Drosophila melanogaster: one gene and its partner. The protein of the gene in region 1 binds, or shares a complex with, the protein of each later gene. Each region holds a gene or a part of one and is shown in the gene's direction. Other genes may lie near its edges.

Region 1 (5,079 bases):
ACGGGCCAGAATGAGTTTGTACGTGTGTGTGAAGAGATATATATATGGATGTTGGGGTATATGTATATAGAATGTATCTTTCGGATACCAATTGCCATTAGTTTATTGAGAATCCGAAATTTATGGCTCTGCGTGTCGTGGCCAACCACGCACAAATGGTCACAAATCTGGACCTGAAACACATGTGGGCCTGCCTTTGGTTCCTCCAGCATCTGTGGCACGTACAAATTTCATTTGTTGCACTATTTATGTGCTTCTCCACTGATGAAAATGAAATCAAATTAAATTTTCGGCACAATTCAAAGTGAAATTTTGCAGCTAACATAAAACAAGGCAAATGAGGAATAAATCTCCCGATGTGTGTCCTGTGCGCTGGGTTTTCCCATGTGGGTACATTGAATGGGAAATTACTGGAATTTCCTTTCGGTCAGAATTACATGCGCATATTTCGGTAATATCTTTGAAATTTACAGTAAATCCTAGGTATTTGAAATGAAAAACACGGGCAGTGTGGCAAATGTGTATATTAATGCATCTTTGCGGGGAGAAGTAGCCATTATGTTGCCTATTAAGCTTATCCAGATTTGCGTTGCTTTGTTTGATTTGACGTAAAGTTATTTGCTTGGAAAGAAAACATCTTAAATCCTTGAAAATTGTGGTGTAAGCCTAGTAGTAAACATTAAAATTGTTGTTGTAATATTTCAACAAATTTATTTAAATTTCAAAGACTTTAGATAATTACCAATTGGGAAATGGAATCAACACAAGATTGCTATGAAAATTGTACATGAATTCAAAGATTATTCATAAGCATGTCCTAATTTTCCATACGCCGTGCATAATTACAGAAAACACAGTTGCAGAGGGATACGATTTCCATTTGCATTTCCCATTCCCCGTCCCTGTCGCACTTCACACGCTGCTCCCCCGGGAGCTATGTCCCATCCTTGTTCCGCATTAGCAGAACGCACTTCCACTTCATTTGAGTCGCAAGCGGCAGAGCGAGAGGGTAGATGTTGTGGAAGTGTGGTTTTAATTGGCACACAACAACAACAGCAAGCAGTCTGCTACGTGCTGGCAATTACATTTTACATTTTACTCAGAGAGAGAGACTAATCAACTAATAAATCCATAATCACTGTTATTACGTATGCTGCCTGAGATGCTTAGACTTTGAAGTTAACCGGTTAAACTTGGCTAACAAGAACTGAGAACTACTGGCCAACAACAACTGCCGGCTTTTCCCCCAAAAATGAAAACAAAACAGTAGAAGGCTCTCTTGCTCTACCACTTTCTCTTATACTCTTATACGAAGTACCTGTATTTCAACTGTTTTCCTCTCTCGCATGACTTTTATCGCATGCGATTTGTTTATAGTGCAACGACCACAGACACGAAGATAATTCGTGTGTCTCTCTCTTTTTCTCCCACGCATCTGTACCTTCGAACGGTATTTGTGGGGTAGAAGAAATTGCTCGACTTATTATATCGTTTGCCACTCAGAAGTTAGGGAAAGAATTTTATTTTTTATAAAAATCCTAGTCAACTAACATAAATCAACTGAAAGCTCGATTCCTCATATTATCACATTGTGTTATTGCTACAAGAACTGTTGTTCTAAAAATTCTTATCAGTACGTCAAAAATATAAAAAAATTTCGAGACTAGCATTTTTATCCAACTCATATTTATTTATAATAAGCTGATTATATATAAAACCCAAACAGCTTTATAGAAATAACTTCACACGTTATTTAAGGTTAAAAAAGTAGCAAGATAGGATGTTATTAAAAGTAGAATATAAAAAATATAATAATAATTTAAAATGTCTTAACAAACTGGAGCTTAAGGAACCAAAAGCAAACAAAATGATATAAAACATATAAAGACTGTGACAAAATTATTAAAATTTAAAATAAAATATATTAATAGGCTGATTACAAATTTAAGTAAATAATGTTTTCTATATTGAGCAAAGGGTATCTTGCCGCCGACTCAGCCACTCTCTCGTCTTTCCCTCCACACTAAGCGCACTACCAGCTCTTCATCTCTCAGTTCTTCTTTCTTTTCGAGTCGAGTTCAGTTTGTTCCGAATCGCCGACGTGAACGCACGCTTGTCGCGCTTGTAGCAGTTGGATTTTTGATTTTCCCAGCCAGAGTCCCGCGTTCGTGTGTTGTGGGCCGCTTTTGTTTGTCTCGTTTTGTGGCCAGCGATTTGGCAACCGAATAAGCCAAGTTAAGAGCAACGCTACGCAGCACAAAATCCATAAAAACAAGAAACACAAGGCGCAATTAAATGCAAATGTGTGAAAGTGTAGCAAGCATTTAACCAAAAATAAAATCGCAAAAAATCGCGGCTTCAAAGTGCGAACAAGCGCGAACAGAGAAGCTAAACAACAGTGCCAGTGCGTGTTTGTTCGTGGCAGCTTAAGAAAAGCCAAATAAATATTAATATTTGCACAAGAGATCGCAGCGGAGTAGCTAACCTCACATTTAATAAAACACGTATTAAAACGGTAAGTATTTACGTCTCCTTGTTCAGTTATTACACTTTGAACCGTGCCATCTCGCTCTGTCTCGTTATCTCCCATTCGATTTTGCTTTGTGCTAAGCTTCGCTTGGCTCGCGCTAAGCTCAGCTATCTCTGTCCCACTCTCTGATCAGTCCAATTCGCCTATAATTGCACAGAAAAAAATTTACCAAATTGATGGCTCATCGGGCAATTGGTTGACATTTTGTTCCAGTTTTGATCACAGTCAGATAAAATCAATTTAAAGTACATAAAATGAGCTGTAAAATATTTGTAAACATCTTTAAATTGATCTATTAATACTACTACTACTACTACTACTACTACTAGTACTCTGCGTAAAACCGTATTTTTTCCTGTGCAAATTGGCGATGAATAACAGTTTCAGCAGTTGTAACCGTTGCACAATTTTCCCCAGTGCTTGTGTGTGTCACACTCTTGTTGTCCACAATTTCCGTGGTTTTTCTCGGCACTTTCCAGGGAAATGTGCAAAATGCTGCAGTGCAGCAGCAAGTGCTCTTCGGCCTTGGGGTGTGCTTTGCGTTTTGGCCAACCCATGAACGAAACAAAAAAGAAAACAAAGCCACACGCATTTGGCCCAAAGCTCACGAGCCAGCATATTAACACTTTGAATTTTTGGCCAAAAACCAGTTTGGAATCGAAAAAACAAACAGACACAACAAAAGTTTATTTACTACCAAAGAGAGCTTCGTTCAACAGGTTTTCATTGCGGGGACTTTTATTCGTATTGAAGGTGGAAATACCTGGGTAATGCAGGTTTCAAAAGTACTTCTAACAAACCAGAAAATGCCCACTTGTGCTTTAAAAGCTAATAAGTTGCTGATTAGAAACAGCAAAACAAAATAAGAGAAGAAGGAAGGGACAAGAATCTTCTCGCTTGTACCAATTATGGTAAAAATCGTATGACCTTATGATAAACTTAGACTTTTGTTTTTAATTCATTTCGATTCTTCTTGGGTTTTCCAACACCATAAATCTCTTCTTAGTTGATAGCCCTTGACCACTAGCTACATTTATATGAAAAATTCGGAAAACCCCAAGATTCAACCCCAAAAGTTCAACGATTATCGCTCAGAAGCAGCAGGTCTTGAATTCAAGAACAATGCTGTTTTAACAATAATTATACAATATATATAAATTTTGATTGTATTTTTTTCCGATAGTTAACATCCTGCCATTGAGCTTCTTTCGCCTGAGGGTTTTCCGAATAACTGTACTCTGGATTTAGGTTAAGATTTTTCTTCTTTGGCCCACATCAAAGGCAAAGAAGCTTTCAAAGCGGCTATAACAATGGCGGCAAACTGAAAAAAAAAAATGCTAGTCTTCGTCTGTGAAGGTAAAACTGCGGAAGTCATTTAACAGTCTACTTAACTTCTGCCAAAAAAAAAAGAAGTGAACGAAAAAAATGAAGTGGAAAACGGCAAACTGCAAACGTTCAAGATGCTCCGCTTGGGTCTTTCGTCTTGGCCACGTTAGAAAGTAGCTGTAATTGTGGCTCCGTTATTGTTATGGCCAAACCGCCACTAGTCCAACTGCAGGCGGTAAAAGTTGCCCAAAATGAATTGTCATACAAACACGTTTGTTATAAATATTTCTGCACAATGAGAGACTCATTTAAGATTCATTGTACTCGCTTTTTTAGTTGTTAGCTTTATTTTTCCCCCTCTCATTATTGAGGGCGTTTGTCCACTCGGTTGATAAGCGAAAAGGCAGAAAAACAATATTCAAAGCTGACTCCGCTTTGGTTTTTACATCTGCCAAGTGTTTTTTAGCTTTCTGCTATTTCACTCTTAGTTATTGGCGACTTGTGTTGATAATTAGCACGTCGGCTTTCAGCGTTTCTATGACTTGTGGTCCGCTCAGCGTGATGAGTCAGCCTCCTAAGCTGAAAAGAGCGTTACGATCGAACCACCATATGTCTTACTCTCCCGATCTCAGATCAGCGGGCGGTTTAACCCAAAGTCAAACCAGATCCGTGACGTAAATGGGAGACAAATACACGCAAAAAAAAAACAAGACTGAAGATCTGAAGATTGTATCTATAAGATCTGTTATTAAAGTGATATGTAATTACATACTACATTCTTATATGATGACTATAATGACTAATATAAACACGTTTTAATATAGTACAAGTTTATATTATATAGCGTAATATCATACTTACCGTATTGTTATCACCTGTTTTTTTTTAACAACTCATTTCTTTTCGTGTGATTTCAACGTGTGAGGTTTTTTACTCTCCAATCAGATTGAACTGAGATAGAACTGCCTGACCAGTCACAGGGCTTATTGCCTTGCATTCAATTAATTAATTTCAATTTTATTGCTTCAGCTGACCATAAAATCGTGAAGGGAGGAATAACCATAAGTTCCCCACTGCGACATTCTCTCGGTGGAGGGAAATGAAGTCGTTGCACTTGCTTTCACCCTAATGCCTTCATCAGCTGCACAAACGAAAAATCTCATTAATTTTCCACTTTCTGTCTATCTTTGGGTTATCTCTCCATTGTTTGTCCCCGTCCCAGT
Region 2 (7,357 bases), 270 kb from region 1:
AAATTCTTATGAATCAACAGTGCAGCTGATGTTTCTACGAAATGGCCTCAACTCAGTCATTGGTGCATAATTCGGGGGAAAGGCTATGCTATGAGTAGATATGGCCAAGTAAAATGCATTCTGCTAAGAAGTTCCCGTTTTTCCATGGCGAACGACATCCACTTTGGGCCATAAACATAAGCACACAAGGTAGATCCATTCAGGCACGACTGCGTCAGATGCCGTTTACATGGCGATTACTTGCAGTGTGCGACTTAAAGATGCGGTTTTTTGTCCGCCGTTCTCGGAAATACCAATTGAGTCACCATCTTTCCCAAGCGCCTCAGCACGCTCCAAGGCGGCGACTGGCGGGCTAATTTAAGCGATTCGGATCTGCGGCTCCCATGACGCGTGCGCCAACGGAACTGGCGTTTGCGGCACCCGTTCGGAATATCAAATGTGTTAGAAATATTAGATGGGCTCCAACGTGGGGATAGTTTCATTGGTGGTGGTGCCGAGAGCAGAGCAGTTGTGCTCCGCGAGCTTTGATGCCGAGCTTTGGCCCGGCACCACTTTTACTTTCAGCAGCAACAAGTGCTGGCCGGCACCTTCTCACAGGTCAACTTGACCGACTGTGAGAAGCCCTACACTTGGCTAACATGGGTTTAGCCCGATAGAGAAGGTGGTAATCAACCACCCACTTGCCACAAAGTTTGGTTATTTTCAGCTCGGGGAAATTTCTATATTTTCGGGCTACCTATAAACTTGTTTTCTTTCTGGATTTAAATAAAAGTGATAATTCAATCGCTGCTTCTTTAAGTATACCTAATAAAAAAGCAATAAATCTCTAATCGCGTATGTTCAATAACAAGCGGACAGATAATAGTTAATTACTAAAATGGGTCGACGAAAAGGGCAAATTTGTACATAAGTGTTTATTAAGTACAGTATTCATTATTTCAAACGGAAACTTAATCATCCAAAATGCAGCTTTGATTGACTTCCGCAGATAACAAAGCTCTGACTTCGAGGCATCCAAACATTACTCTGTGGCTGCTCTAACTTTTTCGTAATATTTGTTTTAAAAAATTTTGCGATAACGAAGTTAATTTTTGGTGTCAAATGCCACTCAAACGATATGTACATTTTATGCAAAGCTTTATGGCAACTATGCTGATTAGAATGAATAAAATGTTTGTATGGAATTAGTTTTTGAAAGTATGTTTTTAACTTATGTGTTAAAATAGTACAATTGAGGGTTTGATATTCTTCTTAAAGCTCCAGTGATTTGTATTTGGTTTAACAACAGATGTAATTAAAAACGTTAGTCATTATAGTGTTAGTTTGATGTGCACTTACTTTTCTCCAAGTGTAATATGATTCAGATAATTCCGACTGGTAAAGTTTTTCGTGAAGCAGGCGCAATTAGTAGCACTGCTCGGAGTCAGCTGTGATAAAATCGCGGTCCGCTCGCCCAGACGTCCCGCTCCCTCGCACGACCCTCGCGCTCACTACCCATCCCGCTTCCACCGCCTCTGACCGGCGGCGTCTCGCTCGCGCACAGCGCCCGCTCCCGCTCACACTCTCGCAAGCTAGCTTAAAGCTGCACTTAAGCACTGAGCAATTGTTTGGGGGAGCAGACGAGTCGAGTCGGCGGCCTCTGGGCTCCACTTTTCATTTTCAGTTGCCTCCCAGACGTGCGCTCTCGCTGTCGTGTGTTCTCGATCGCGAGAAATCCAAATCGAAATCGCAGTCGAAATCGAACTTGGTTAATGCTTAACACTCTGCATGCCCGGGAGATATGGTGAAACTCTCGATCTGACCGGAAAATCCCAGCGCGCGTCGCTATAAACACTTAAGATCGGTGGCAGATGGTATCGGGCTTGAGGTCCATAAAAGCGCATTCATCTCGAGCTTTTCGTGTCACTCAAAGACGGCGCACAGAGCCGAAAAGTTGAAGACTCACATATCCTGCGATCAGCTACTTGGATAGCCCATTGCCCAGTTGCAAGCCAAATCGGTTATAAACGATATCAATATCGCGGCATTTCATCAGAGCAACCAAATCGAACCGATCCGAAAACGGTTCCACTAAAGCGGCGAGAGCGAAACTAAAGTGAAAAGCAAACCGACTAATTGAAGTGTCTGTCTGTGTGTCTCGCAAACGTGCAAAGGAAACAAACAAAACGGAATAGCCAACATATCACACAGAGCCACCGCACAAAATATTTATAAATAAATAAGAGGCAACAGTAACACCAGCTACCAGTATAAAGGCCCGGCATTAACATTTAGTCGTGCCAGTTTGTTTATTTTTTATATACGCAAAGCCCATAAAAAGAAAAAAACGCACAGATCACTAAAAAACAACAGCAGCCGGCGCTATAATAACAAAGTTGTAGAAATAAGAAAATTGGTATAAGACGCCACCGATCCGCCAATCACCTGCTATATACTATTACTAATCCCCGACGCAGACGTTCGCCGTCCGCAGAATCTATATATATTTATAAATCCAATTGATTAAGCCCGAGATCGAGCATGATGACGCCCATGTGGATATCGCTGTTCAAAGTCCTGCTGCTGCTGTTCGCCTTCTTTGCCACGGTGAGAAATTTACAATTTTACAAATTTCAAAACAGTCGAACCTCCATAAGGGAAACTTTCAAAAGAAGTTAAAGTTTTAAAATTTAAAGATCTTTGCGTCGAAACAATAATTTATTCCAAATCTATCTAATCTGATAAAAGGTTAAAGTCTCCTTGTCTTCTTAAGACAAGCACTTAAGATCTTAAGACTCCAGAACTTGATTTTTTGTTTATTTGAAACAGGTGCTCGCTTGTTCCAGTTATGAAAGTTCGACTGCATTTCTGTTTTTTTCTGTTCCGTGTTAATCTATGCTTAACATAACTGTCATTTCATTGCAATATATTTCGGGCTATGGGCTTTTTAGCTATTAAGATTTATTTTAGATTTTCCATAGTTGTTCTAGCAGTTCCATTAGCCGAAGGGCAGTTTCAAGTTTAAATTTAGTCACAGACTAGAAAACCTGTTCGCATTGCCAGCGGCAGGTTATGTGCAATTTTCATTCTCTATATGATAAATGCACATCATAGGCATTACAATAATATTAATTGACACAAACAATGCCAGACATTCTGCACACGACTTTGGAAGTAATTTACTGCCGGACAAATTGTATGATCATCTCTGTGAGAAAAGCAATTAGTTCGTATTAATGGCGTCGAATGTTAGAAAATCCGTTTGAAAAGCGCCCGAGAACTTTTGTCTTTCCGGTTTTCCGCGAATTCCGCAGCGGACCGGTTCTAAAGATCGTTTTCAGTTCTAGCTAAATTCCAATAGGTTCACGGAAAACCTAAAACTGTGATGGAAAAACGATCCAATGTTTGCCTTAGTTGCGTCTACGCCAAACACTGATGAACGCGTTTAAAAAAAGGTTGATTGCTAATTGATTGGGAAAAAACATTTCCGAGAAATCGCAAAAGTTCTCAGACAATCAAGTTCAGATGGGTTGGCACCTTAAAGCGGGTTTTCTACATGCTCGTCGAGACCCAATTTTAATTTGGGTAAATTCTGTTGACGATTCCATGGACTCTATTCAAGAATTTAAGCATAATAAAAAGTCTTGACGAGATTAGGGGCTATTATCAAGGCTTATTTATATCACTGCATATACATATATATATAACATAGAAATATTTTAAAGAGTAGCACTAAAAGTGCTGATAATTCTAAAATCGCCAAGCTATTTGCATAATTATGGTCCTCGGATTATCAATACATTAAAAGCAACTATTGGCTTGTTCTTTTATATAAATAACCTTCCGGTTGGATTATGTTGATTTTTATTCAGGATCGGCTTGCCTTTAGATTTTCCAATTATTCAGTCTTTATTGCTTGCGGAAGAGGGACATCCGTTTTCAAGTTGCTAAGCTAGAGGCAACTCTCGAGGGGATTATCAACTCTGATTTTGGACTCTGGCTGTTGTTATATGTATATAGGTTCGGGTCCTAACTCAACGGAACTATAGAATTGCGAGAGAAAACTGCGCTTGCCCGAAAAACAGCTGTTCAAACCTTTTGAATACGCAAATGTAGTGCCCGACAATAGAGAGAGAGAGAGAGAGAAGTCTGGGTTGACAAACAAACGAGCCCGAGCACCGACCCACGAATATATACTCCGTTGTCTTGGCAATGTTGATGAACTGCAAACAAAACTCTCACCTGTATCTTTCAGATAGTTTATATCAATATCGAATTAACGAAGCGACACGAGGCCGAGGTGAGGGCAGAGAAAACAGTGGCAGACTATAAGGCCCTTTTGGCTACCATTAACAATGGCGGACCCGGAAAGTCAGCATCTAATCACTTACAGGTGTGAGCACAGTGTCCCCGAGTGTCCCGAAACAGACCCAGTTGTATCGTTATGCTTAACACCTTAATAGCCTTAATTTGTCTGTGGTGTGGTCAAAACTTCTGAACCGAGACTAAAGTCTATTGTCTTGTCTTTTTATTTCGCCATTTTTGCTACAGTACGAGGCCAAGGAGTATGAACGTATCATCAAAGAGCTTTTTACAATAACCAATGATGAGGGAGTTGTCCTCTTTAATGTAAGTGTATACATAGGCAAATGCATGATTTCTCTGTAAAATGTGTCTTTGATGTGAAACGCAATTCATAGCTTCAAGGACGAATTGGTGCGCTGCTTTCTTATAACTACTCTTCATCCTATATTGCATCCCCATTTCACTGCTCATTTGGTTTCTTATTGGGTTGTGTGTTGTCTTTGTGCTTCCTTTTTTTGCCAATTGGCTAAAGACTAACACGAGTAAATTTTACCCGTACAGACGTCCGCGGACAGTGCACCCTTCATGCCCATACCCACCCAGCACGACGATCCGACCCAGAAACAGAAACAGAATCAGAATCAATCTCCGATACCCGAAACGAACCGCCATTACCATCAGTATCACAGCCTGATCCAACCAGATCAGTACTTCAAAGTGCAGCGCTCCCCGAATGGAAAGCTGAATCTGGTCTTTAACGATACGTTCGTATCTTTGCAGAGGACGGACACGGAGGTGCAATCCGAACAGCCGATACCCCCCCGACATCCATCGGATAGTAAGTACTAAGTATTTTAGCCTATATATGCTCAGTTACATTCGATACCCAAACATGCCTTACAACTAACTACTAAATCGATCCCATACTCACTGGCCAACTGCCTTTGGCGCTTGCCTAATTTTAGCCTTTGTCTTCCCCGATTCCCCCATAGCCAAGTATCGGCCACCACAATCCCCAGCTCGTCCTTTGAGGAATGACACTAAAGAGCACAATCCCTGCGCCAAGGATGAAAGCCAACACCTTAGAAACTTCTGCACGAATGTGGACGACTATCCGGACCTTTCAGGCCTCACACATAAGCTAAAAAACAACTTTGCCAAGTTCTTTAGCAACGATCTTCAGCCCACGGATGTGAGCTCTCGCGTTGGTGGCTCAGACGAGCGATTCCTTTGCAGGAGCATCAGGAAGCTGGTGTACCCAAAAAAGGGCTTGAGGGCGGACGACACCTGGCAGTTAATTGTCAATAACGATGAGTACAAACAGGCCATCCAGATCGAAGAGTGCGAGTAAGTTATAGCTTGAATCTATGATATATTCCATTAGCCTTGCTAATTGCCAAACCTTCCCTTCCAGAGGAGCGGATCAACCCTGTGACTTCGCCGCCAACTTTCCGCAGAGCTATAATCCAATCTGCAAGCAGCACTACACACAGCAGACCCTGGCCAGCATCAAAAGTGATGGCGAACTGGACGTGGTGCAGAATTCCTTCAAGATCCCTTCCTGCTGCAAGTGCGCGTTGAAGACTGGGTGATTCTGGAAAATGGGATTCTCCAGTCGATGGCTGCGACAATGTGATATTGAGGTGAGGCCACGATTTATTCGTACATTAAATTTTAAAAATAGGTACAGAACAGAAACGACTGACTACCAAGAAGTAGAGGATTTCAATGAATCCTTGCGACTTAAGGCGAACGCTTCACTTGACCAACTTGCGCAGGGTCCAGCCGACGGCGTAGAATCCCACCAGCTTTAGGGCCATTCCCTTGCTTTCAGCCTTCACCAAATGCTTAAACTTGTTCTCGAAATTGCCAACGACGCGATCCATCGGAATGAGATAGTATAATGTCTGCAATTCAGAAGTCTTGAAAATATGTTCGAATGCGGATTTTCGAACTGTGCTTTATCAAGTATTGTACTTAAATTCAAGAATAATGTTTCTTGTGATTCGAAGAGTCAAACTTTTCAGACTGAGACTACAACTCTAAATATGTATACAGCTTCATTGACATTATTTCCTTGTTAACTAGACCAAAAATATAAATTGTATCTCTTCTCTTTGCAGCAAGAAGTTTCACCCACCACAGAATGGCAGGCCAAACTGATCAGTGGTCATTGATTTATTCTATAATCTGCTGAATCCACACATAGACCAATGTGCATATTAATTTAGAGCTTTAAGTCGAGTCATTTTAACCATATTCGTGTCATATATTCATTTTTGACTTCCACGTCTAATGCCTAAGCTAGAAATGCAAGTAATTAGTCCTAGAATAAAAACAAAACAAAACACAAAACACAAAAAAAAAAACAAGAAAGATAGAAATAACGATTTGAAAAATGTATGTTAAAAAAAGATAATGTATAATAAATGTATGCAAGTACATGCCAGCAAAGTAAAGTTCTTTGAACCCATCAGCGAGTACCTGGTGGACAATTTATTTGCTTATTAACAATAATTCGGTTCGCCCCGCTGCGCAAACCAATTACACCCTAGTGAGTGTAAACACATTCCCCCAAAGGGGTGGTGGTTGGCTTTCACCGGCAAAAGGATAACATGCATCGACTTCGGCTTCCTGGCGCTGGATTTTTCCAACTGTCAGCGGGGCGTATGCGCGATGTGTCTTGAGGTGCTGGCGCTGGCACATGTGGAAATCAATAGTATTTATCGATTCCCAGACACAATAAACTATGTCAAAGTTAGGCCGAACAATGCGAATGCTTGTGGATTCGTTGTGGGCGGGCAAAGTGCCACAATTTAATTACTATTATTAGGTATCCTTCCCGTTTGGCCAAATCCAGTGTCGTGCCCTGGTCGATTGGGCATTGGCCAGGGTCATCAATCATGCACATCCCCAACAGCCACACACAGCCGCGTCCATATCAATTAGCAACTATCCATATATCTCCGCCCACCGATTTTATATATGTATATATATAATCGTAGAGTTTGGATTGCCCTTTGTAATGTACTTTTTCTCATTACGCCACTGGCTCCGTTGCGCGGATTGTGGT

Evidence for each region.
Region 2: the proteins of Tl (region 1) and spz are in contact, whole or in part, in a crystal structure (PDB 4BV4), measured with the Drosophila melanogaster proteins. Residues at the interface, in NP_524518.1 of Drosophila melanogaster: Gln44, Ile48, Met49, Glu51, Glu53, Glu61, Arg66, Thr68, Tyr74, Gln76, Met78, Arg101, Gln103, Arg105, Arg106, Glu133, Arg154, Arg156, Glu180, Arg182, Ser206, Trp229, Ser230, His253, Asp254, Asn275, Ser277, Ala278, Met301, Asn302; in NP_524526.1 of Drosophila melanogaster: Val221 (codon at 5,489), Gly222 (codon at 5,492), Gly223 (codon at 5,495), Ser224 (codon at 5,498), Asp225 (codon at 5,501), Arg227 (codon at 5,507), Arg231 (codon at 5,519), Ser232 (codon at 5,522), Ile233 (codon at 5,525), Arg234 (codon at 5,528), Lys235 (codon at 5,531), Leu236 (codon at 5,534), Tyr238 (codon at 5,540), Gln263 (codon at 5,615), Glu268 (codon at 5,630), Asp275 (codon at 5,718), Phe276 (codon at 5,721), Ala278 (codon at 5,727), Asn279 (codon at 5,730), Phe280 (codon at 5,733), Pro281 (codon at 5,736), Gln282 (codon at 5,739).

What each region holds. Positions count from the first base shown.
Region 1 is NT_033777.3:26,796,966-26,802,044, forward strand, and holds the start of Tl (toll), read left to right. Parts: upstream 1-2,075; 5' UTR 2,076-2,515; intron 2,516-5,079. UniProt on the Drosophila melanogaster protein: Receptor for the cleaved activated form of spz, spaetzle C-106. Binding to spaetzle C-106 activates the Toll signaling pathway and induces expression of the antifungal peptide drosomycin.
Region 2 is NT_033777.3:27,064,373-27,071,729, reverse strand, and holds spz (spatzle), read left to right. Parts: upstream 1-1,659; 5' UTR 1,660-2,520; coding exon 2,521-2,586; intron 2,587-4,234; coding exon of another isoform or gene 4,235-4,372; intron 4,373-4,530; coding exon 4,531-4,608; intron 4,609-4,845; coding exon 4,846-5,122; intron 5,123-5,249; coding exon 5,250-5,631; intron 5,632-5,698; coding exon 5,699-5,876; 3' UTR 5,877-5,927; exon of another isoform or gene 5,928-6,041; coding exon of another isoform or gene 6,042-6,170; exon of another isoform or gene 6,171-6,294; intron 6,295-6,407; 3' UTR 6,408-6,642; downstream 6,643-7,357. Other genes in the region: CG43935 (uncharacterized protein), read right to left, coding at 6,042-6,170. UniProt on the Drosophila melanogaster protein: The activated form, spaetzle C-106, acts as a ligand for the Toll receptor. Binding to Toll activates the Toll signaling pathway and induces expression of the antifungal peptide drosomycin.